Danio rerio: one gene and its partner. The protein of the gene in region 1 purifies or fractionates together with the protein of each later gene. This does not show direct contact. Links are inferred from orthologs where the notes say so. Each region holds a gene or a part of one and is shown on either strand. Other genes may lie near its edges.

Region 1 (12,253 bases):
AGAGTACTGACATACTTTTATAGAGGCAGCAATAGGTGGCGTGCTTGAGCAACAGGTAAATTCTTGAATGAAGGGAGATGAAGTTAAAGGTGAGCAGTGATGTCGTGCGAGAGTGCCTGTTGAACGATGATACAACACATTCTCAGAGATTTGGAGTGAATTAATTAGTGGATATAAAGAATTAAGAGTTCAATAATGGACAAACTCAGAGCGGTTCTGGGTGGTCGGGATGGAAACAATGATAACAGGAACATACTGCAGGTGAGTTACCAATAGTAATTTTCTAGAACTCCTAACGTGTGAAATTGTAATTGTAAAATTAATAAAATGACACAGGCTTACACTGCCGTTACAACTTAATTTCAGTTTTATTTTTCTTAATATTTTTACTTGGAGGTGCGAAAGCATGTAAATTACAGTTGTGTGTTGTGTTCACTGCAGGCGGCGAATGAAGCGTCCACACTGGGATGGGGAACGCGCGTGAAAGGATTCGTTGGTTGTTTGGTCGTTGGAGTAGTGTTCTCTATCTTGGTCAGTCATTTAAACTTTATTTCATTTTATTTTTTGTAGCTTCCTGACTATTGAGAAGGGCTAGGCGATGAGTTGGTGGAAAATGTTTAGAAGCTGTGTCACCGGTTTGGCCTGTTGTATAGAATGGCATTTCAAGTATCTTGAGTGAGAATAGGAAAATAACTTGTTTCTCTTTTAAGATGTTGTTTAACTTTCTGTATACCTTTCTGTTCACTCAAAAATTAAAACTGCCTATTAATTTTCTCACACAAAAGCCATCCTTGTTGAAAATATTGTCCTTGGTGATTCATAAAACGCAATTGAAAGGCAACCTGCACTTTTAGAGTCATAAAACAATATATAGGCTAAACAAAATTATTACCTGTTGCTCATGAAGACAAATTGATGTCTTATTAGGGGAAGCAATCAATAAGAAATTTAACATTATTTATGATGTTATTAATCTGCAGCCTCCCTTTTGGGAACATATTGTAGACACAAACTCATGTGAGCTGATGCTGTTTGTTTACATGTATGTATAGCTTCCTGGAAAAGCACTAGTATTAATGTTGCACACCAGAGGTGCCCAAACCTTTTCTTATGAAAGGCCGACATCCAAAGTTGATTGAGGGTGGTGGGCCGAAGCTAAATATACTAAACTGCAATACATTAAAGTAGCCATGATAACTTCCTAAATTAATAATATTTAAACATATTTCGGAAAAATTATTTAATCATATCAGTAATCTATATATATATATATATATATATATATATATATATATATATATATATATATATATATATATATATATATATATATATATATACAAATTCACATTTAATTTAAACATTATTTTCAGTTTTGCCTTTTTTTTGTAGCTCAGCAATTAAACAAAATGTTATGTAAAATTGAAAAGGATGAATTCGGTTTGAGGGATTTACCCCAACCTTCCCCATTTTTGGTCCATTTCTTCTCACGGGCCCTAGTTTGGGCAACTTTCTTGGAAACACTGTTTTGATTCTTGCATGTGCAAAAAACACTTTATAACACCTCACTGCATCATCACAAGCTACGGGTATTAATTTTATTTACTCTGCATATTATTTTGACTGTGATAGTGCCAGTAGAAAATGTTGAATCTGCAAGGACTGTGGTTTCACTTCAAAATATTCTGATGAAAAAATAAATGCTTCTTCTAGAAATATCCTTTTAACTGTCATATTAATAATATACATTTTTTTATCTACCTCAGGGAGTAGGTTGCCTGTTTATTCCCAAAATTGGGATACTTCTTTTTGTTGTGTTTTATACATTGGGAAACGTTTGCTCCTTAGCAAGGTGAGTCATCTGGTTTATAGCAACTAAAATTCTGTGACTATTTGCATTGTATTTTAATTAATTTCATTTGAACTCCTCAACAGCACCATGTTTTTAATGGGACCAGTGAAACAGCTGAAACGCATGTGTGACAAGACCAGAGCCTTTGCTACTGTTGTGATGATAGTGAGTTAATCTTTTCCACACCACACTCTGCTTGACTTTACATGTAAAGCCATCAATGAGGATGTGACTTGTTGTAAAAATAATGCAGACATGTTAGTTGTCTTGCAGTTTCTGGCTTTTCAAGTTTTAAAGCAAATGACGCTTGAAAGAAGTTTATTAATTACTAGGGCCAGACAGAATCTGTGGACATTTTTGCTATTTCTGCAGAGAATTTTGTAAAAAAAATTGCAGTTTTATGCGGAATCAGTTTGGGAGTATCATAACTGCAAATTTAATAAATGAAATAAAATATAATAGGTTTTTAACCTTTATTTAATGTTTACAATGCAAATCCAATTAGATTCACTTATTTGGCAAACAAAGCAAGTCTCTCATATAATACATCTAATAAAAGATAGAAAATATTACTTTACAAACTGTATTGTAAATAAATCATATGCACATTTTCATATTAGCCAATAATAATACTGAAATTAATTTAAAAACAGAATAAATATTATTTTAAACATACATACATGTTTAAATAAATAGACTGCAGATTTCTGTGCACACAGATTCCATATAGGCTGACTTATTACTTAAATTATGGATTACTATTTCTAACAACCAAGCAATACTGCATGAAATGTTTACCAGTCAAAAAAGTAAAAACAGGCCTTTTTAAACTTTTTTCATTTCTGGTGTTTTAAGAACAAAACAAACTTTAGTTTTCGGCTGAAATCACCTATTATGATTTTCACTATTCAATAAGAATCTAATAAAATTATCCTAATTTTGAAAGTAAAAACATATTGCCTTTAAATAACTTTAAAAAAAACTCTAAGAATTAATGCATTATATTTCAAAAACATGTTGGATGCGCCAAAAAGTGTTAGAATTATTATTTGAATTCATGTGCTCTCTTTGGAAACATTTGACCAGATGTTTAATGAGTACTAAAAGTTTCACTATTTTTTCTCTGTCCATAGACATGTCTGGTTCTCACACTCTGTGCAGTATTTTGGGTGAGCTTTCTGCATTTCTCCCTGCTGTATAGTTTTAGATTTTATCTCTGTATATAATAAATCTAATAGAATTAGCTTTCTTTAATACTAATTCAACACTAATCTCTGTACAACAGTGGAAGATCTTTGCTCTCACTCTGCTGTTTGTCATTCTTCAAGTCCTTGCATTTGCATGGTAAGTTTACAATGACACATTATTTTAAGCATGGACACCACACTGTATAACTTACAATTTCATTTACCTTTAAAAAACAAATAAAAAAAAAGTATAGAATGTTATCTGATAAAATTTTAGGATAATGTCCTGACCCCAGTGCTATACATGCTGCATATACAGATTATTGAAAGTTCAAAGCAATATGTTTGCTGGGTTTGTACTATTTGTCTTAAGTAAAATCAATGTCCATTGTTTCTTTTCTTTGATATGTTCAAAATAATGAACACATTCTCTCATTGACTGTGTGAATAATTATGACTACTTTAATTTAAATTCATCAATTTGTTTTAAAAGCTTATTAATTAACTAAAAAGTAACTCGCATGACATTTTTGAAAAACTTACTCAAATATTACTTATTTGTTTAATGCAATACTTTACTTGTTACTTAGAAAAGTAAAATTATTACGTAACTCTTGTTACTTGTAATGCGTTACCACCAACACTGCTTTTTCCTGTACTGAAATACATTTGATCAATTTATTAATTTTTCTTTATAGGTATGGCCTCTCATACATCCCTTTTGCAAGGTTAGTCATTATTTGTGATTTTAACATATTATTTTGTCTTAAAATATTGAATTAGATAAAACATATTAAGCATTTGATGGATGTGTGAATATTTGTTAGGTGGTTCATTCTGCTGTGGCGACCCCTAAAATAGAGACTAAACTGAAGAAAGTAAATGAATGCTAGAAAATAAATATGACACAATTGAAACCAAGTACAGTATTTTTAATTCTCTATGCTGTCTTTGTCTTAACCAGGGATGCTGTACTGAAGTTTTTCTCCATGTTGTGCAACATGTGTATGAAATGAAGAGCTGATGTTTATCCTTTCATCACTCTGGGAACTGGGAACACTCTGCTCAAGTATTCTGCAATTCTGGGGTCCACAAATAATCACTGAGACTATGGGATGGTGCTAGTTGTAATCGCTAACGTTAGCTGGACGACATGCTAAATCTGACTGTACAAAAGATTACATTTTACTGAATGTGTTTTAAATGTGTTGTAAAACAGATTTGTAAATGTTATGAAATGTCTTAAAATTGATATTTATTAAAGTAGATATTGCAGTTATATACTAAAAAGCTGACCTTCTATTTTTTTCTGTATCTTTGTCTGATACTATTTGTAAATGAAGTCTAGCTCAATTTTTTTTTCTGTGTCAGAATGTTGAATATAATTCAAAGGATAATCCGAGATTTGAGAATTTAAGATCTTTACACACGTATTCTTTATAAAATATACATATTTTAAATATATATGTACTTTTTTAAGAATGGCGCCTTTAAAGAGCGCGTGCTTGCGTTGCCAACTTGTCATTGGACAGCGTCAGTTTTGCTACCCGCCCATTCACTATTGCAGGAAGTAGAAAAACAAGTCACGTCAAACTGGCGCGCACAAGCTATTAAAGAGAAAAGAAATTCAGATGATTTAACATAAACGTAAACAACAAGGATGTCCACATTTCTTCGAGCAGTCAGAAACAACATACCAGAAAAGGACAAATCTGAACTAACGGAGAATGACCTGAAGAAATGGGGACTTGGAGGTGTGTGGAGCAATTGCGAGCTAACTTACTTGTTTAAGTTAATGTTTAACGCTTAACCCTACGTTAATCGTATTTAGCCCGTTTTGGATCAGGTAAATCATTAGTTTACAAAAAGTTTTGGATATAACGTTACATCAATAACGTACCGATAACTTCTCGTTAATGAATTTGCTTAAAAAAGTTTTACATTCCCAAAGTTTTACCTCATTGCCCATTTGTATTTATAAAAATACGAAGAATCATTTGCGATTTAGATGCATAGATTTACGTTTGTGAACTTCATATAGAAAACTTATGCCATTTTATTTTGATAAATTACATTTATAAGTACATTTAATATGATAATTACCTGGATCAACCCTTTTAATAGAAATTAATACCGTACATTTATTTCTCATGATTAGCTCAAGAACAATCCAGGTGGATAAAAACTAATACAATAAAACTAATATTTATTTCTAACAAGCAAAATAAATATTAACGTTACTCTAATAAAGTTTTTAAACATTATAATTTGATTTGCTCGTACACTGAAAAACTCCTATGTGATCTATGGGAAAATGCAAATAATTTTTCAAAGTAACTTTACAATAACAGAACTGATTTTGTCTGAATATGCGTATGATTTTATCCATGATATTATTTACATACATAAATGTATAGGTAAGACATAACTTGATTTAATGTAATTTATTAATGTTGCTCAAATTCATGTACAGTTTATACACGTTGATATCTTTAGATTTCACCCCACTCCTTTGTTTTGTAATGGTTTACTCCACCTTTATTGGACTGTTTTAAGTTATATTAAAAAAAATTTGAGACAGACAGAGCAACACACAGGGTTCATAAGGTCATGGAAAACCTGGAAAAGTCATGTAATTTTGACATGGCATTTTCCAGGCCTTAATAAAAATTTTGGAAAAATTAGAAAAACACACAAAGTTTTGGAAAAGTCATGGAAATTAGTTTAACAAATATCTCTATACCTAAATTAGGGCTGCACGATATTGGGATGAAATGTGTTGTATTTCTGTGATTATATATTGCGATGTGAATGCAATTTCACCAGATGATTTAACAGGTTTATTTGGATTGATTGGGGGATTTTGTAAAGGAGTGAATCTTGAATAATATATAACAAATAACTTACAAGCATAGATAAATTAAATATAGCAAAGACAAAAGTGAATAATGATATAGTCTCCATTGTATATTATTTAATCTTTCTTAAAGTTACAAAAAGTTTCTTGTGGCTGGTTGTTTTAAAATTTGAAATATTGAAATGTTCTCACAGTCAAAGGCCTGAAAGGGACAGTTTTGTCAAAGATGAAAATGTAATCACTATTTACTGACCCTTCACTATAGTTATTAAATTATATATTTTTTGTGTTCATTTAAAAAAAAAATGAAAATCATTAATGTTTGAAACAAGTGAAGGGTGTAACGAAATTGGTAAGTAATTTTTGGATGAACTATCTCTTTAAAAATTCATGCAGATGACAAATGTTTGTTCCATTATGATTAAACTATAATCCCAACATTGCATGTCCTGCAATGTGACTATTGCAGATGCACATATTACAATATCGATTCTGAACCACATTATACAGCCCTATCTTGTATACAGGTTAGTTGTCTTCTTTTCTGTTCTTGGCCAAAAACTTGCTCTCACCATCATCAAAATTTTACATGGATATAAAAAGTAATTTAAATAAAATAGATTGTTGCCTGTTATATGATATGCTGTAATAAATTTAAACACCATTCTTTTTCTTGTTATTTACCATGTATATGTAGACATTACATGAAACATTACGTCATGAATAGTCATGGAATTTTAGTAGTAAGAATGTGTATGAACCCTGAACAGTTTTTTGGCCGGAGTTTATTGTTACCTTGCATCTTTAATTGGATGGAAAGCCGAGTTGATTTATTGCCTGACTGATTTTCTGAAATTCTGATAGTTCAGTGTAATATAAATAAATAATCATGGATTGATTCATTAATATATGGCATATCTAGGCATGGGCCGGTATGAGATTCTGATGGTATGATAACCTTTAATAAAAATATCACGGTTTCACAGTATCACGATATTGTGATTACTGCGCTAAAATATTTTCTTTTTAAATGTCTGCATAAAAAAACAAAAACTTTTTTCCCCTTTGAAAACAAAGATTCATAATATCTTGTTACAGTAAACATGTCAGGCTAAATAATTCAAATGAATCAATGACTTCTGCTGTCTTCATTTGTTTCAAAAACAAATTTCTTTACCATTTAAAATGGCATTTTTGGATAATTTTTTTTTCTGCTGGAGATACTGTTGTCCTAAAAAACTAAAAAGAAATGTAAATAAAAGATTTTACACAAATTTTAGGAACGATATTACAGAAAACTTTTTCGGTTTTAAAACCTAGACTTTTTCAAACTGGGGTATACCTTGAAAACGGTTATCGTCCCATGCCTAGGCATATCTCAATCTTAACCTGATGTCAAATTTACTTAAACACAAAGATGCACTTTGCATTAAATTTGTATATCAAAAAAGGATGATTTTTATTAAAAATAAAATATTTTATTAGAATTTTTTACAAGTGATTACAATGGTCAATGTCATCAATGGGGTAATGCACACAGACTTTTATCTTCAGTCAGTCAGCCCCAGGGCTTCTGGTGAATTGTCATCCCATACAAAATCACAGCAAAAAAGATCTGATTTCTTGAAATAACAGTGATAATCTCTGCCTGGCTGAGATAAGATATAAATTGGGTATCAGACCAAACAAGAAGCACTGCATTAAATTATATTATTCCATGCCATGTCTATTAAAAATGGAAATTAATTTTACCTCAGTATTTTCAATGGAGTTTTTGCGCTTACCTGCTTCTATTGGCGGCACTTGCGTTTAAATAGTCTCTTTTTATGTTTTAATAACCAAATAGATGCTTAAGTCTTTTTAACTGTTTATATTTGATGGTGTTATTACATAACACCATCAAAGCTGTAAAAGGAACTTTATGAAAGGGAAAATAGTCGCATGAAGCTTTCACCGGAAGTTCCTTATTGGCTGAAAAACACTAGCTGTGCATATATTTTCGGGCATGATTGACTTTTCACGTGTCACATTAATTGGAGCAGTGAAATAAGGCTTCGAACACCTGTTACATGATTTAAAATACTCTAAATCTGAAAGTTTTTTTCTTACAAACAACGCTGTTATCCTTTATCTCTTTCCTAATAGCTATTCATCTGAGGCCTTATCAGCTGGATGGAGTGAAGTGGCTGTCACTGTGTATGAAGAACCAGCAGGGCTGCATCCTCGGTGATGAGATGGGTCTGGGCAAGACCTGTCAGGTTAGTAATGGGATGGCTTTATCTTGCTTATATTGCTTGCTTTTAAGCCGAAAGATTTATTCCGAGATGTCAGATATGAGATAAGTGAGATGTCATGCTCTGCTGTAGACCATCTCTTTGCTGGCGTATGCTCGAGGAAGCCTTAAGATGAACGGGCCGTTCCTTGTGCTTTGTCCCTTGGCTGTTTTGGAGAACTGGAGGCAAGAGTTGGAACGGTAAGAGACATTGGTTGTGATCAGAATTGTGTGGTCAATTTAGATTATGAAGAATGCACGATAAAGTTCTTGGTTCATTACTGTGCTGCTATGAATGCTTACATTTTTAGTAATCGATAACAGTTTACTTCTATGACATTTCTTATTCATTTTAATGACTTTCAGATTCATAAAATGTTTTTTTGTGTTCAGCAGAAAAAAAGTAATTCATAAATGTTTGGCCCCAATTGAGGATATGTAAATGATTCGATTTTAGTTTAACTAACCCTTAAAATAGCTTAAAATGGATATTTATTAAATCAGAGACTGTTAAAAGTTGCAATTTCTGTTTTTCGAAATTTGTTTCAATATTGTGTAATGGTAACATTGTAAATAAAAGACTAGCTTCGGTTTGCTGGGAACCATTTTTTAAAAAGAAATGTGCGTGTGTGTGTTAAGAATGCAATATTTTTAGTCCCAAACTGTTTTATATTAAAAAAAAAAAACTAAATAAGGCTAAATATTTATCAGATTTTTTCACAGACATGAATTCACAAATATTTTTTATATAATTTACACAATATTCCATACATACTCAGATACTTCAAAATAAAAACACTATTTGACGAAAAGGACAAATATTTTGAAACAATTTTTTTGAAAAACATGAATCACAATTTTTTTGACGCATGTATTCCATACATACCAATATATTCCAAAATAACCAGATCATAAAGCATAAATGTTTGTTCCCACATGTGGACCATTGTATAAGGGAATTTTCAGTTTTGAATTGTCCCTTTAAATATCTTAAAATGAGAATTTATTTACTCAGATATTGTGAGCTATTGAAAGTTGCACTCTCTATTTGTTTACCTTTGTCTTAATATTGTAATTTAAAGACTAACTTGGATTTACTGGTAATCTTAAAAAAAAATGTGTGTGTGTGTGCTAAGAATGGAACATTTTCAGTCTCAAAGTGTGTTATATTTGAAGAAATTAGTAAATATTTTTAACAAATTTTTTTTGACACATGAATTCACTAATTATTTTACGAAAATATTTTGACACTTATATTCCATATTTACCCAGATTCTTCAAAATAACCAGAATTAAATTAACCCATAAATGTTTGATCCCACTTTTGGGCTAGGAAAGCTTGAGTAAATTGTTAGTTTTAGTTGAAATATCCCTTTAAACATCTTTAAATGTGTATTTATTAAGTCAGATATTGTGATCTATTGAAAGTTGCACTTTCCATTTTGTTTTCCTTTGTCTTAACATTGCGTAACGATAACATCTTCTAAATTAAGAATAAAGACTAGCTTGGGTTTACAGGTATTGTTTAAAAATGCTAAATAGGGACATGAATAAAATGAGTAAGTTTTAATTTTTATGTGAAATATCTCTTGAAATATGTTAAAATGGATATTTATTCAATCAGATAGTTGTGATCTTAAAAGTTTTACTTAATTTTTTTTTACTTTTGTCCTAATATAGTGCAATGATAACATCTTGTAAATATAGCTTGGTATTAGTTTGGGTTTACAGGTAATCTTTGCAAAAAATATGTGTGTTTCAGTCCCACAGTTTGTTTTATTTGACGAAAAGGCTAAATGCATTTAACACATTTTATTGACAAACATGAATTCAAAAATTATTTTACAAAACTTTTTTTGACGCATGTATTCCATACATATCCAAATGCTCCGATATAACCAGATCATAAAACATAATTATTTAATCCCACTTGAGGATCATTATATGATGAGTGAATTTTCAGTTTTGAAATATCCCTTTAAATATCTTAAAATGGATCTTAATTAAATCAGATATTGTGAGCTATTGAAAGTTGGACTTTCTATTTTTCTACTTTTGTCTTAATATTGTGTACTGACGATAATATCTATCAAATTAAAGTCTACCTTTGATTTAAAGGCAATCTTGTGTGTTAAGAATGGCGCCTTTTCAGTCCCAAAGTGTGTAATATTTGAAGAAAAGTTTAAATATATTGTCCACATTTAAGACAGACATGAATTCTCAACTTTTTTGATGCATGTATTCCATAAATGTCTAGATTCTTCAAAACAACCAGAACATGCAACATTTAGCAATAAACAAAGTGGTGAAAAGGATAAATTTTATTTAGTTCAGTTGACAGCAGATTTACACTCTCAGCTAAACTTACTGAGCAGCATTTATGGCCATAATCAGATGATTTTACAAGCAAGAAGTCCATGTGTTGTCACTGTCACTAGATGGAGACAATCGCAAATAAATTCTGAATATTCTAAGTCCTCCTTGAATGGGAAATCCAGTTCAGATGAAAGATTGCTTCTGGTTTTCTTGCTTTCCTTCAGTTTCTGCCCTAGTCTGTCTGTGATCTGTTACACTGGGGATAAAGAGAGAAGGGCAGAGCTCCAGCAAAACCTAAAGAGTGACCCACGGTTTCATGTTCTTCTCACCACCTATGAGGTACGAACACCTTTTATCAGAATAACCTTCTGAGGGTTGCTATCCAAACCTGTGAGCTGTTCTTTTTTTAATGGAAACTCTTTCTCATATTTAATAGATGTGCCTTAAGGATGCCCGCTACCTAAAAAGGTGATTTTTCTTTCCTGTTTTTGGCATGAAATTATATGAATAGATATAATAACCCTTAATACTGCTACTCAGGAATTTTGAATGTAATTAACCGTGTTTACACAATAGTGTTTTTTCCGCCTAAGTTCTGCTGGTTGACGCATGTGCTGAATTTTCCTTGCCAATCTTAAGCCAATTGTAATGGTTTGTTTTGGTTCAATGTGGAATTTCCACAACCCTTGAAGAGCTCGGGGGATCAGAGTGATCCTACTTGGCCCCACCCTGATCCAGAATAGTGTTTTTATATATATATTTTTTATCACTTATTATTTAATGATGGTGTTGGAGATGTATATTTGTAAATTTTGTTTATTTAATGTTAAATTCCCTCTCAAAACATGCTTTGTGGTCATTTAACACTTTTTAAAGTTAAAGGTTCCGTGAAATTAAAATAAAGTTTTTTTTTAGATGTAACAAGCAGTATGTTAGTTAAGGATGTCTAATGGATCAACAAATCACGTAACCTCATACTTCAGTTTCTCCTCAAATCTTGGTCAATCTTATGCTCTTTAGTATCTGACATGCCCCGCCCCCTTCAACACTCATTTGCTTTTCATTTGATGTGCTTGAGCTCAACCGTTTTCACTGACAGAGCTGTGAGAAAAACAATAAAACAAAGCCACTCTGTCCCACTCTCTCTTCATGTTTTAGTTGAGATTACGTCCAATTTCGGATAAAAATTACACAATTCACAGCACTTTACAGGACTTCTTCGTAACCTAATTTTAAATGTAAATATTGATTAATTCCACAATTTGAATTTTAAGCCCTATGAAATTTTTCCAAATTCTATTTTATTATAATTTTTTTTTGTTCCAAATGTTGTTTTTCTCTGTCTTTTTTATTGTTTTTGATTAGAGTTGCTTGTCGTTGGTTTTTTAAAAATAACTGATTTATAATAAATTAGCCATTTGTAGCTGTAAAGGTTTTGTGTCATATTTTTAATTATTTAGACAAAAATATTGTCTAATTTTTTTTTTTTATGTCCAACAAATATCAGTTATCAACATGAAACAACATAATAACAATAATGTACAAATCATTCATTCATTTTCTTTTCGGCTTAGTCCGTTTATTAATCAGGGGTCGACACAGCGGAATGAACTGCCAACTTATCTATCATATGTTTTATGCAGCAAATGCCCTTCCAGCTGCAACCCAGTACTGGGAAACCATCCATACACACTCATTCACACTCATACACCATGAACAGTTTAGCTTATTTAATTCACCTATAGTGAACCGAAGCACCTGGAGGTAAC
Region 2 (11,638 bases), on another chromosome or scaffold:
ATGAAAGGGTAGAAACTGGGCCTTGACTCGAGGAGACGTTTAATGCATAGGGGTTTTGATTGCTGTGCAGAGCGGCTGAAGAAAACCACATCAATGACAGCGGCTGAACAAAAACAGATCTGCATTTTCCGTCAGTGAAAACTCTCTCAAAGATGTTCAAATGTACATTCAATTAAAAGCAAACTTGTGTGTCAATGGACTCGGCTGAGACAGTTTCCTACATTGTCATATTAAGTCACGCGTTATGATGCAGTCACAGTAGATCTTCAATTTAAACACTATAAAAATTGTTTGAACATATGGGCCAAAACAAACAAGTGTGCATTATATTTTGGCCATCAGCTCCACTGATAAATATCGCTATCAGCCAGAGTAAAACTTGCATCATTCAACTACTAAATCAGGGGTTCTCAATGTCTACATTAAAAGGTCCAAATCTGAATTTTCAAAGGTCAAAGGGGGCAGAACAATTGATATTACATAACTTGTTTTTGATAAACATCAATAACATGCAAAACATTTTTAATAAAGTGGCATTTGCATTCAAAACACAATAAATACAATGCAAATGGGCCACCACCACTAAAATAAGTGCATTTCTGTACTAAACACAACAAATGATAGGCCAATAGTATCTGAACGCAGCCATTAGACGCAAGCTGAGATTGCATATCTCAGAGATGCAATGACAGACACAATGCACTCAATGGAGCTAGTGATGCCACTGTGAGGGGCGGGGCTAGGTGAGTGCATTAAAAGCATTGCATGCAGCTCAGATGTAACTGCACCAGGGGTTTGTTCTTCGTACATGGATTACTCAGTTAGCTGGATTTGGTTATTGACGATTTGTCGTGATCCAGGATTGTTTCATTCTTCAAAACTGATCCGAGAGTTGTTGTCATAGCAACAGTTCTGGTAGCTCAAACCTGCTCGGGAGCAGGTTTATTTCATGCAAAGATAATACTGAAAGTATGTACCAAATGCTGATATTTTCTTACCTATAAACTATATACACTTCGTAAAATAGTTTAAAAATAGTTAAAATAGTTTATATATACACATTTGTAATTTATAATAATTAATATAATTTATTATTGAATAATTAGGCGAAGCAGTGGCGCAGTAGGTAGTGCTGTCGCCTCACAGCAAGAAGGTCGCTGGGTCAAGCCTCGGCTTAGTTGGCATATCTGTGTGGGGTTTGCATGTTCTCCCTGCGTTGGCGTGGGTTTCCTCCGGGTGCTCCGGTTTCCTCCACAGTCCAAAGACATGCGCTATAGGGGAATTGGGTAGGCTAAATTGTCTGTAGTGTATGAGTTTGTGTGTGGATGTTTCCCAGAGATGGGTTGCGGGTGGAATGGCATCTGCTGCGTAAAAAAACTTGCTGGATAAGTAGGCGGGTCATTCCGCTGTGGCGACCCCAGATTATTAAGGGACTAAGAAGACAAGAAAATGAATGAATGAATTAAATAATTAATAATACTTAAGTTTACATACAACAACGTTAAAAAATTATGTAAATAAAACGTTTGCAATCTGCACTCTGAAATAAAAGTACAAAAATCCCCAAGGGGATCAAAGAGAACATTTATTAATATGGACTTTTTAGATACAAATGCATACTATTTTAAGGCACTGATCCAGCTTCAGTACAATTTCTGTATGATAATAGACATCCACAATACTCAACTGTTGTTTGTTTGTTCGTTTATAATGGAATAATAATTTATGCAGTCATGCACATGTTTTGACAGCTAATATGCTGGTGATTTGATGTTTTGCAAAAGTTGCAGACACCGTAACCAATATCAAAATGCTTTTTTGATGCAAAATTAATTTAAATGAAGAGATTAAAATAGGCCTAGTCTACTATAATGAAGAAAATCTACTCTAACTGTAAAACTAAATAAACTGTTAAATACTCTTGACACATGAAAGTATAAAGCCTGCAGCCCACAACAAATGTGGAAAGTTATTGCGTGTCATATTTAGCAAACCGCTTACTATGAATATGATCTAATTTTGCTCACATGGATAATTGAATATTAATCAGATGATGTCATTACGCTGCTGTGCCGTCAGCCAATAGCTGATCATGATTTCGAGGATTGATAGATCTGTCCTTCAAAACACATGCAGCAATCTCAGATAAATAAATAGAAACACTGCTAAAAACAAATTGTGTTTCAGGTAAAAAGATGAAATACTCACATCCTCGAAAGAGTCGTCCCATCCCTCACTGGTGATGACGAACTGGACCTTCTCGCTCATGTAGTCTTCAACAGCTCTGAGGATAAAATAAAGGCTCTGAATAAAAATGCAGTTCATTCACTGGCCACCAGAGGCTCCAATTGGGATTTGACTCCATAGGCTTTCCATGCTAAAATGACCAGATTTACAGCAGAAACAAATGTTTACAGCTTGGTACAAAAAGTGGTCTAGCTGTATATAGCTGATATTCTTCTTCATGACAATTGTGAAAGGATGATTTTTTTTTTTTTTTTTAACTCAAGTTTAATTTATATTAAGCCCTAAAATTGTGCATAATTAAGGGCGTGGCCACTTGAGTTACAGGTGTCTTTTGCTCAGATAATTCTTGGCCATTATGTAGATCACATTTGTGCCTTTGTTTATGCAGCTTTACAGTCTATTGCTTTTCGGGATTATTTCTTAAAACTATCAAAAATGTTTTGCAGTTAATTGTGATAACTAAGTCTGGCCACCATTCTATTACATGAGCAGGGCTCAACAATAAGGACTGCCCGGTGGCCCGGGGCCAGCGTGAAAGACACTCGGGACAGTAGACAGGATTGTTACTGGCCCCTATCGGCCAGTAACGATGAGAATGTTTTTTTTTTGTTTTGTTTTTTGACCTGGTAACAACCAGTACAGTGAAAAGATGGCAATATGGTGGCAAATTTAAACAATAAGGCTAAAAGAAAACGTTTCTAAAGGCTTAGAAGCAGACCATTACATGGGTACAAAATTAAGAAACTGAAAAAAAGAACAAAAAAATAACAGTTGTCAGTTTGGCAAGCCACTTTTATAAAAAGTTATTTAGAATTGCATTAAAACACCAGCACATTTTTCATACTGCTCTTTCATTTGCATAAAATCTTGAATCTTGCTCATTATAAATTTATTAACATATTTAAAATGTTTAAATTCTAGATTCACAGGCATAATTTTGCCACTATTTAAAATATATGGCTAAGAAATCGCTATTAACTTTTTAGTTTTTTTGGTGGGGCTAGTGAAAATTTTGACAGGGCATGTAAAAATCTTAAGCAATAGCCCGATCGGACCCGTATAAAAAATCATTAGCGTTGAACCCTGATGAGTAATTTTTTTATATAAATTTCAACTATACAGTTAAAGTCAGAATTATTATATAGTTGTTGTGATAGCATAGCAACTGTAGAATCACCACAACAGACTAATTTAAGTACTTTACTATAGTATGATTCAAAAAGCCATACACTATTTATTATACATTGAATAAATTATATAAAATAAGTATACACAGTTGAAGGCAGAATTATTCGCCACCCTTTGAATATTTCTTTCTTTTTAAATATTTCCCAGTTGATGTTGAACAGATTCAGGAAATGTTCACAGTATGTCTGATAATATTTTTTCTTCTGGAGAAAGTTTTATTTGTTTTATTTTGGCTAGAATAAAAGCAGTTTTTAATTTTTCAAAAGCCATTTTAAGCTCAATATTATTAGCCCCTTTAAGCTATATTTTTTTGATAGTCTACAGAACAAACCATCATTATACAATAACTTGCCTAATTACCCTAACCTGCCTAGTCACCCTAATTACCCTAGTGAAGCCTTTAAATGTCACTTTAAGCTGTATAGAAGTGTCTTGAAGAATATCTAGTCTAATATTATTTACTGTCATCAAGACAAAAATAAAATAAATCAATTATTAAAAATGAGTTATTAAAATGATTATGATTAGAAATGTGCTGGCAAAACCTGCTCTCCGTTAAACAGAAATGGGGGGTGGGGATAAACAAGGGGGGAATATTAATTCAGGGGGGGCTAATAATTCTGACTTCAACTGTATATGTATTTCATTTATTTAAAATTATGTATTATCCATTTATAATTAATATTCAGAACTGTAATGCCCTCCAGAATCTGAGAAATCAATCAGCTGTCAGCTATAGACCATTTTGAGGGATGTAAACAATAACAATGGTCCTAATGCATTTCCTGTTTTACATCTTTCATTTCCAAAGCTTCTGAGAACCCAGAAAGTTCCACATGTTGATACTTTTTATAATGACAGCCGTGTTAACATTAGGTACGACTGAATCCCCTCTTGTTACAGTTCTGAAAAGGTTTTAAGACAAGCCGGCACTGTTCATGAACCAGTGATATCGCCATATTGAAATGGTCTATAACACAGTCATATGAAACACTGTCATACAATGCCAAGTCTGCATTTCAGATCTCATAGCGTTTCATGATAGCCTAGCATTTAGACTTTATTTGACGTATTTATTAGCATTTACCACTTTAATGCTTAAAAGGGCTGCATGGCATTAAAAGAAAGCACAAAGTCAATCTAAAATTCAACCGAGCGCATGTGGCCAGAACACAAACAGGTCACCTTTAAAGGAAGTGTGAAGTGTTTCATCAATAAAAAGGGCATCTCTAGCTCCGCCTATTCACCACCTCATTGCATTTTTAATTATTAGGGAGTAATGCATGATTGGCAATTAGAAAAGCTCCGCCCACTTCATTTGCGCTCTTCATAAATATATACATTAGATGTCGCCTACCCTGTTGTTGTCTATTGGACGGAATGCGTCAATAGAGCCGACATCTTGGAACAGGGTAGCGCTCCTTTGAAATGAATGCGGGACCAAGGTACAGTGGAGGACTGTGCCAACCCAAAGCCAGAGATATACACATATACACATATATCTATGATTGTGAGTTTTCCTGGATGTTAGTATGCAAATTTTTTTTTTATTACGAAAATTTTAATTTTACATCACTTTTCTACATTGATGGATCAGTGACCGCACGGGCATTCCTAACAAAAAGCTTGTGTTTGTGTGTACAGAAATGTACTATTCACCCTCCCTGTTAAATTTGATCTAATCATGTCCTGAAACACAGCTCCTCTCCTGCTTTCACTGCTCATACTGACGGAGGGAGCGATTCGCTTGTGAATGAATCCCCGTTATGAACGACTCGTTCACTAGCCAACAATAATACAAGTTTCTGGCAGCGCAGCATCTCGTTGTCATATTTCATTTGCATTGTTTGCTGATTTTATTCAACAAAACCAGCATAAGCCGAGTGTTTAGTGCGAGTTGGAGCTACTTTGCCTTATGGTGAATGCAGTAAGTGACTGTTATCATCAATGTTGAATACAAAAGTCATAACATACAAAAACGTAAAAAACTTAATATTACCTATGAAATGTTCTGCCTTTGTGCTTTCTTTTCTTTGATTGCTCGTTACTACACCCGTAGACAGCGCTAAAGTCCCGCATCTTCACGTAATAACACTGTCTTGTCTAGTGCAGTTGAATGACATTTGTCCTGGGAGCACTGTACCAATGTGGCGGCGCTACTGACGCATGCTCAGGGTCCCTATTCGATATCTAGTGTATATATCTATGTGCACTCTTTAGAAATCCTACTGTTGACATCATGGACACTACGTCCATATTTTTAAATCGCCTACAGCTTCTTAATCATCACTCCGCTTTAAATGGATCACACAGACACACTTATAAACACACGTTCATACCCATTGAAGGCGATGATGTAGCGCAGAAGTAGTCTTTTTTGGTTGTCAGGGAACTTGCCGTAAAGATAGAAGCGCTTCCCCTTTAGGAAATCTGAAGGAGCGAAAACAAAGATGATTTCTCAAAGATCCTCAAGACTTTTTAGATGAAAGTGCAGCAGGAGGTGTCAGACCTGGCAGTTCAGGGATGGGTTTATCCTCCTCTTCCTCAGCGTCTGTGTTTTCATCAGTCGAGCCGCCGTACGGATCTTCATTTTTTCCCTTATCTGCGCTTTGCTCTGCTGCCTTTTTCTTCCTGCTCGCCATCTCCACCCTAAAATAGACGAACATAAACACTGGAGCATTACACATCTGATGCTATAGAAAAATCAAGGAACTCTTTGCCATTCCTAACCCAGCCAATGCATTAACTCGATACACATTTTAGGTAATTACTGGCATGCAAGGATTTACATTGAATTGATGCATTGAATTGATCAAAAGTCACAGTTAAAGCATTTCATAATCTCATAAGAGTGAGATCAAATCAGTTATCAGCATTAAACCTTTAGATCGGCCTGTGCAAAAAGCTCTACAGAGTAAAACAGCAGATTATAGCGTGTGTGCAGAAACATACTATGTTATGAGAGCTGAGCTGCTTATTTAGATTTTCTATTAATCTTGATAAATGTCATTACAATGGAAGTCAATGGGGCAAAAACAGCCCCCAGCATAATGAAAGGGTAGTCATTTAGCCTACAGTGTATTGTTGAAAATGTTTAAGAATAACCAACTATAAAACACAGTTTATTTTAGCAGAAAGAAAGCAACCATCACTCACGCCTGATCAAATACCCTCCTTTCAGCTCACACAGATGCATTAAGACGACATCAACTCAACAATAATGAGATTTTAAAGACAGCTGGGTTACACAAACCGGGGATGTTAAAGAACAATTACAAGCATTTATTTGCACATAGCGACAGTGAGTTTGGAATGCAATGCATGTCGTACCTGTTGAGCTCATCTTCGGTGTCCATGCCAGAGCCATCATCACCTGAGAAGAGATGCAGGATAAACAATAAACACAATAAAGAGTAGGACAAGCATTAGCACAAACATACCTTATCATTTAATCATCAAGAACGAGATGCTTTGGATAGTATTGGAAATTAAAATGCTTCTTTTAGGGCTGCACAATACTGGGAAAATATGCAATATTGCTATTATTATTGCTGAGTATCACAATAACATTATTGCTTACGATATACCATTTCCCTTGAAAAATGCTGTTTTTATTAGCTGCTTTAAAATCATTTATTATTTAATGATAATAAAATAAACAGGTAAATTATATTTTTAAGATCTTTTTAATTCTAATTCAGACTAAAAAACTGGGTTTTCTTAGTCTTTAAAACACTATGGGCCCTAACATACACCTGGGGCAATAAGGTGCTTTTTTATAAAGGCTTTTTTTTTAGTTTATTCATGACAATTTGCTTTTGTATAATGTTATTATTATTAGCAGTATTATTTATTATATTTATATTTATATTTGTTTTATTAAAAACAAGCTTAGATTTGTCCACCTGTCAGGTTTTAGACCATATGGGGCGCAGCATGTGTATTAGGATATAACTCAGGTTTTTGAGCACACTTGGTTATTATTGTTCTTTTATTCGTTTGCTGGAAATTAGAACTGAATTTAGAAATAGCTTTGAAGCAAATCTTTGCGCTTAACCAAATTATTTATGTAGGCTAATGGATGTCTGTGCGTAAAAGAGGCCTAATGGAGGAGGCTCATTCTTTATCCTCGTGCTGCAGATGCTCTGTTTAACTGTTTTCTCGCCAGTGAAGTGCTGTTTTTCCACTTACAAAGTCCGCCATGTAAATAGCAAATCGTTATAGCACCACGCAGCTGACTCTTAAAGGGAATGGGAGACGAGACTCTGATTGGTTTATTCTCAAAACACACCTATAACTAATATATATATATAAGAGAATAAGCTCAACTCTGTTAGACCATGCGCCACGGCGCAAAGCGGATTTTTCCATTCTTAAAATAGCAAAAGTGGATTCTGACATGCCCTGAATGCGCCCTGCGCTTTAGACTTTGCCCTATGAGTGAAACTCTGATTGGCTGTTGCCATTTTCCTCTCATCTCTTCTCCATTAATTAGTGTTTATTTTTAGCTCTGGGTTCAGCTTTGAGCCGCTACAGCCAATAGTGAACAGGGTAGGCGGTGCTAAAGTAAGTAAGGCCCCATCTGACCGGTCAAATTTAGATAACTAATATATAAACTACATTTAATTTATCACACGTTTGCAATACTTGCATATACTTTTGTTGCGATAACAATTGAGATATAATGTCCAGTCCTACCTCACTTGATTATTTTCCTCAGTAACACTAACAGTTACAATTTAAAGTGACATTCGTTAAGTTACTAATGACTTTAGCAATAAAATGTACAAAAAGTACAGGAAAAGATTGTCAACAATCATACTTCAGCAGATGATCCTCATTTTGTTTAGATCTAGATAATTTAAGTTGTAGCTTAATGACTTTTTTATTAAGCTTGCTAAGTTGTAATTGTTAAATTTGCAGGTTTTAATTTTTTGATATTAACATTTGTTTATATATATATATATATATATATATATATATATATATATATATATATATATATATATATATATGTATGTATATGTATATATATATATATATATATGTGTGTAAATATATATATATATATATATATATATATATATGTGTGTGTGTGTGTGTATGTATATATATATATATATATATATATATATATATATATATATATATATATATATATATATATATATATGTATATATATATATATATATATATATATATATATATATATATATATATGTGCGTGTTCAGCTCTAGACAGTTTGCAACATAATTAAGAGTTCATGCCACCAATCGAATAATTAAAAAAGCAAGAAATATTAAAGTAAGTTAAACAAGATCAAATGCAAAAGAAATTATTTAAACAAACAAAAACTCTGGTGCTGCAGGGGAATGATTAGGCAGCGTAAGTTAAGCCAAAAACGAAAGCTTTTCTCAAGAGAACAAATGAAGAATTGTTTTATCATGCACTCATTACTGGCAATGCAACACATCCGTAAAGCACTCCAACCTATGCACATAGGGAACAAGCGACCTCAAGACAATAGCGCCATCTAGTAGACATCCCAGCACCAGGAAAAAATAAATAAACAAACCTGTAACAATAAATATAAATAAATAACTATATAGATAGACACACACACGCATGCAATTTTATATAAAACTGTTTTTCTTGAGAACATCTTACATCTTATTGGCTACAGAATAAACAATTTTTGTCCAGTAACTTGCTTAGTTAACTAATCAACCTAGTTAAGTTTTTAAACGTCATTTTAAAGGCTGGTTTATACATATCGCTGGGGCCCACGGTGCTTGCCTTGAGCGTAGTCGTGCATGTATACTTCTGTGCACTGTTTCGTGTTGCTCTGCAATAACGCTTTCGAAACGCTAGCTGGCAGCAGGTTTTTGTTTCTCTGTAGTTTTTTTATGGGTGTTTTGTTTTTTCTGAATGCTACCTTAATGTACAAGTAGCTCAAACTCGCTCATTTAGAGGCAGGAACCAGCAATAGCTTTAATCATGAGATAAACACAAAGCAGAAGTCTCCACCAGGAGCTCCTTCATAGGACACATGCAAACACTCACTCCCATCAGGCTTGCAGCTCTCAACACCACCCATACTCATCAGCGCTACCAAGCAGACCAATCACAGAGCTTGGCGCTATTTAAATTTTAAATTTAAGTTAAATTTTTTTGAGAGGTGCGCATCAGCGTTAGGGCGAGGGCTATGCGAGCGCACTGAGGCTGTGCCGGAGCACACGTGTTTGCTCAACGCATAAGTAGAAATCAGCCTAAAGCTGATTTATTTTCCAAAATAACTGGTTAAATATTATGCAGTGTCATCATGGCAAAGAGATTTTTTTAATGAGAAATAAGGTATTAAATCTATTCAGTTTAAAAATTTCAGTATGAAAAAATCTTTTCATTAAGCATCAGTTAAGGAATACTTGTAAAAGAACAGATGTTTCACATAAATTTGTCTTCAGCTGAATCTCCAGTATAAAATCTCTACAAATATCCTCATTGTACCCAAAGCCTCAGTCACAGTGATGCTCATAGACAGTGATTCACCATTTTTCTCTCTGAATGTCTTTAAGTTGCACGAAAACATTCAGGCCAGCGAGGTTTGCTCACGTCTGCTCTTGTGCTCCCTCAATTTACATAGAAATGAGAAACATGCCCAAGTCTCCTCTCTGCGAATGCTGCGGGCGAGTGTCTGTGCCGCACTTCCAGCCTCTCCAGCCCCACGGCTCTCTTCTGGCCCTCCAGTTTTTATTTTCCTGATTGATTGGAGCACTGCTTTACACGCACTTCATTAACCCGCACTCTTAAAATCCTGCGACGTGCAGCTGGAGTGAAGGGACCCCACGGCAAACAGGTTGACACGTTAACGATTTTCAGGATGCATATATTTGACAAGCTTTGGGTGCTTTGGCCTCTTAAGAGGTGACGCAGATAGCAACATCAATAAATCTTCCCAAACAGACATTATTGGTATTGACGGAGAAACACAGTGACGTCTTTAAATGGCTTTTTCGGCTTACATATATAACCTTACACTGAATCTGCTTAATGTAGAAGGTCATAGGCCACTCGTTTAATAGGAAAAAGGTTATTAGCAGAGCTGCTTAATGATTAATCATGACTAATCATGTATATACAGTATATTCATAGTCGTTTATGTATATATGTATGTATTTCCGCTACATTCATACTTATATTTATATATAATACAATTAAAAAAAGTATAAAAAATTGCTGCTTACATGGTCGACTCTTAATAAGAGTATTACCTTAATCATATTAAAATTGGAGGAATGGTGTCCATGTAAATGTATCAGTGAAAGTGCCAGATGAAGTCGTGAGTTGTCAAAGACAGTGCATTCCTCTGCCATGTGCCTCCAATGTTTCATTAGGTTTGACATGTTTTCCCCTTAAACGAAACTTTGTAAAGCATCTGCTCGCGTTGTGTCAGAATCCTTGTGAAATACAGCCATACTTTAGAACGCTTAGTTTAAGCAAATTTGATGAACACGAATCTGAAGGGAGTCACTCCGGCTACCCTGTCCTGCGTGCATTGTGTGTGTTTGTGTTTGTGTGTGTGCCCGCGCGACAAACCTACCAGTAACAAACCTGCCTAAATGTTGTTGTCCGTAGCCACTAAATCAAAAAGTTACGAATTGCTGTGAGATTACGTTGCACTCTCAGCTCACATCATTCAAAAGAAAAGGTCCACATTGTTTTTTGCAGTCCACTTAGAATCCAACATGGAAATCATTTTTTTCTTTAATGGCATTGATTGTTTTGAAATTCAGATGACATTAACATGCCTGTGTTTTTATTTCTGTAATAAATAAGGCTGTTAAGCCAGGATCTTGATAGTTTATTGTGGGTTTGTTGTTAACATGAAGAAATCTGTGTTACAAGTTAAACAAAAATTCTATTAAACAATTATATTTTGAATTTAAATAGTTTTTGTCTTGCGTTTACATTAATTTTACATTTGAATAGACAAAATTACAAGTTTCAGTCTTGTATAGGTGATTAGTCACAGTTAATAAAAAAAAATGTGATTAATTAGTTCATTTTTAATCGATTGACAGCATTAAGAGCTGCATATTTAAACAAAAAGATGGCGATCTCGATTCAACCCCCTAGAGCAGGGGTCACCAAACTTGTTTCTGGAGGGCCGGTGTCCTGCAGATTTTAGCTCCAACCCTAAT

What was found.
Region 2: the proteins of chd1l (region 1) and xrcc1 purify together in Homo sapiens (affinity purification with mass spectrometry; 3 studies listed by BioGRID and IntAct, counting the BioPlex papers as one, with this or other methods). This does not show direct contact. The link is inferred for Danio rerio from reciprocal best matches to the Homo sapiens genes CHD1L and XRCC1.

The regions. Positions count from the first base shown.
Region 1 is NC_133181.1:39,397,252-39,409,504, forward strand, and holds the start of chd1l (chromodomain-helicase-DNA-binding protein 1-like), read left to right. Parts: upstream 1-4,592; 5' UTR 4,593-4,699; coding exon 4,700-4,793; intron 4,794-8,041; coding exon 8,042-8,154; intron 8,155-8,262; coding exon 8,263-8,369; intron 8,370-10,708; coding exon 10,709-10,823; intron 10,824-10,920; coding exon 10,921-10,952; intron 10,953-12,253. Other genes in the region: sft2d2a (SFT2 domain containing 2a), read left to right, coding at 196-261, 442-531, 1,767-1,852, 1,936-2,017, 2,986-3,021, 3,138-3,196, 3,738-3,767, 4,004-4,055. UniProt on the Homo sapiens protein: ATP-dependent chromatin remodeler that mediates chromatin-remodeling following DNA damage.
Region 2 is NC_133191.1:58,620,385-58,632,022, reverse strand, and holds part of xrcc1 (DNA repair protein XRCC1), read right to left. Parts: intron 6,809-11,638; coding exon 6,766-6,808; intron 6,085-6,765; coding exon 5,945-6,084; intron 5,866-5,944; coding exon 5,775-5,865; exon of another isoform or gene 4,177-5,774; intron 3,981-4,176; exon of another isoform or gene 3,578-3,980; intron 2,285-3,577; coding exon 2,209-2,284; intron 1-2,208. UniProt on the Homo sapiens protein: Scaffold protein involved in DNA single-strand break repair by mediating the assembly of DNA break repair protein complexes. Negatively regulates ADP-ribosyltransferase activity of PARP1 during base-excision repair in order to prevent excessive PARP1 activity.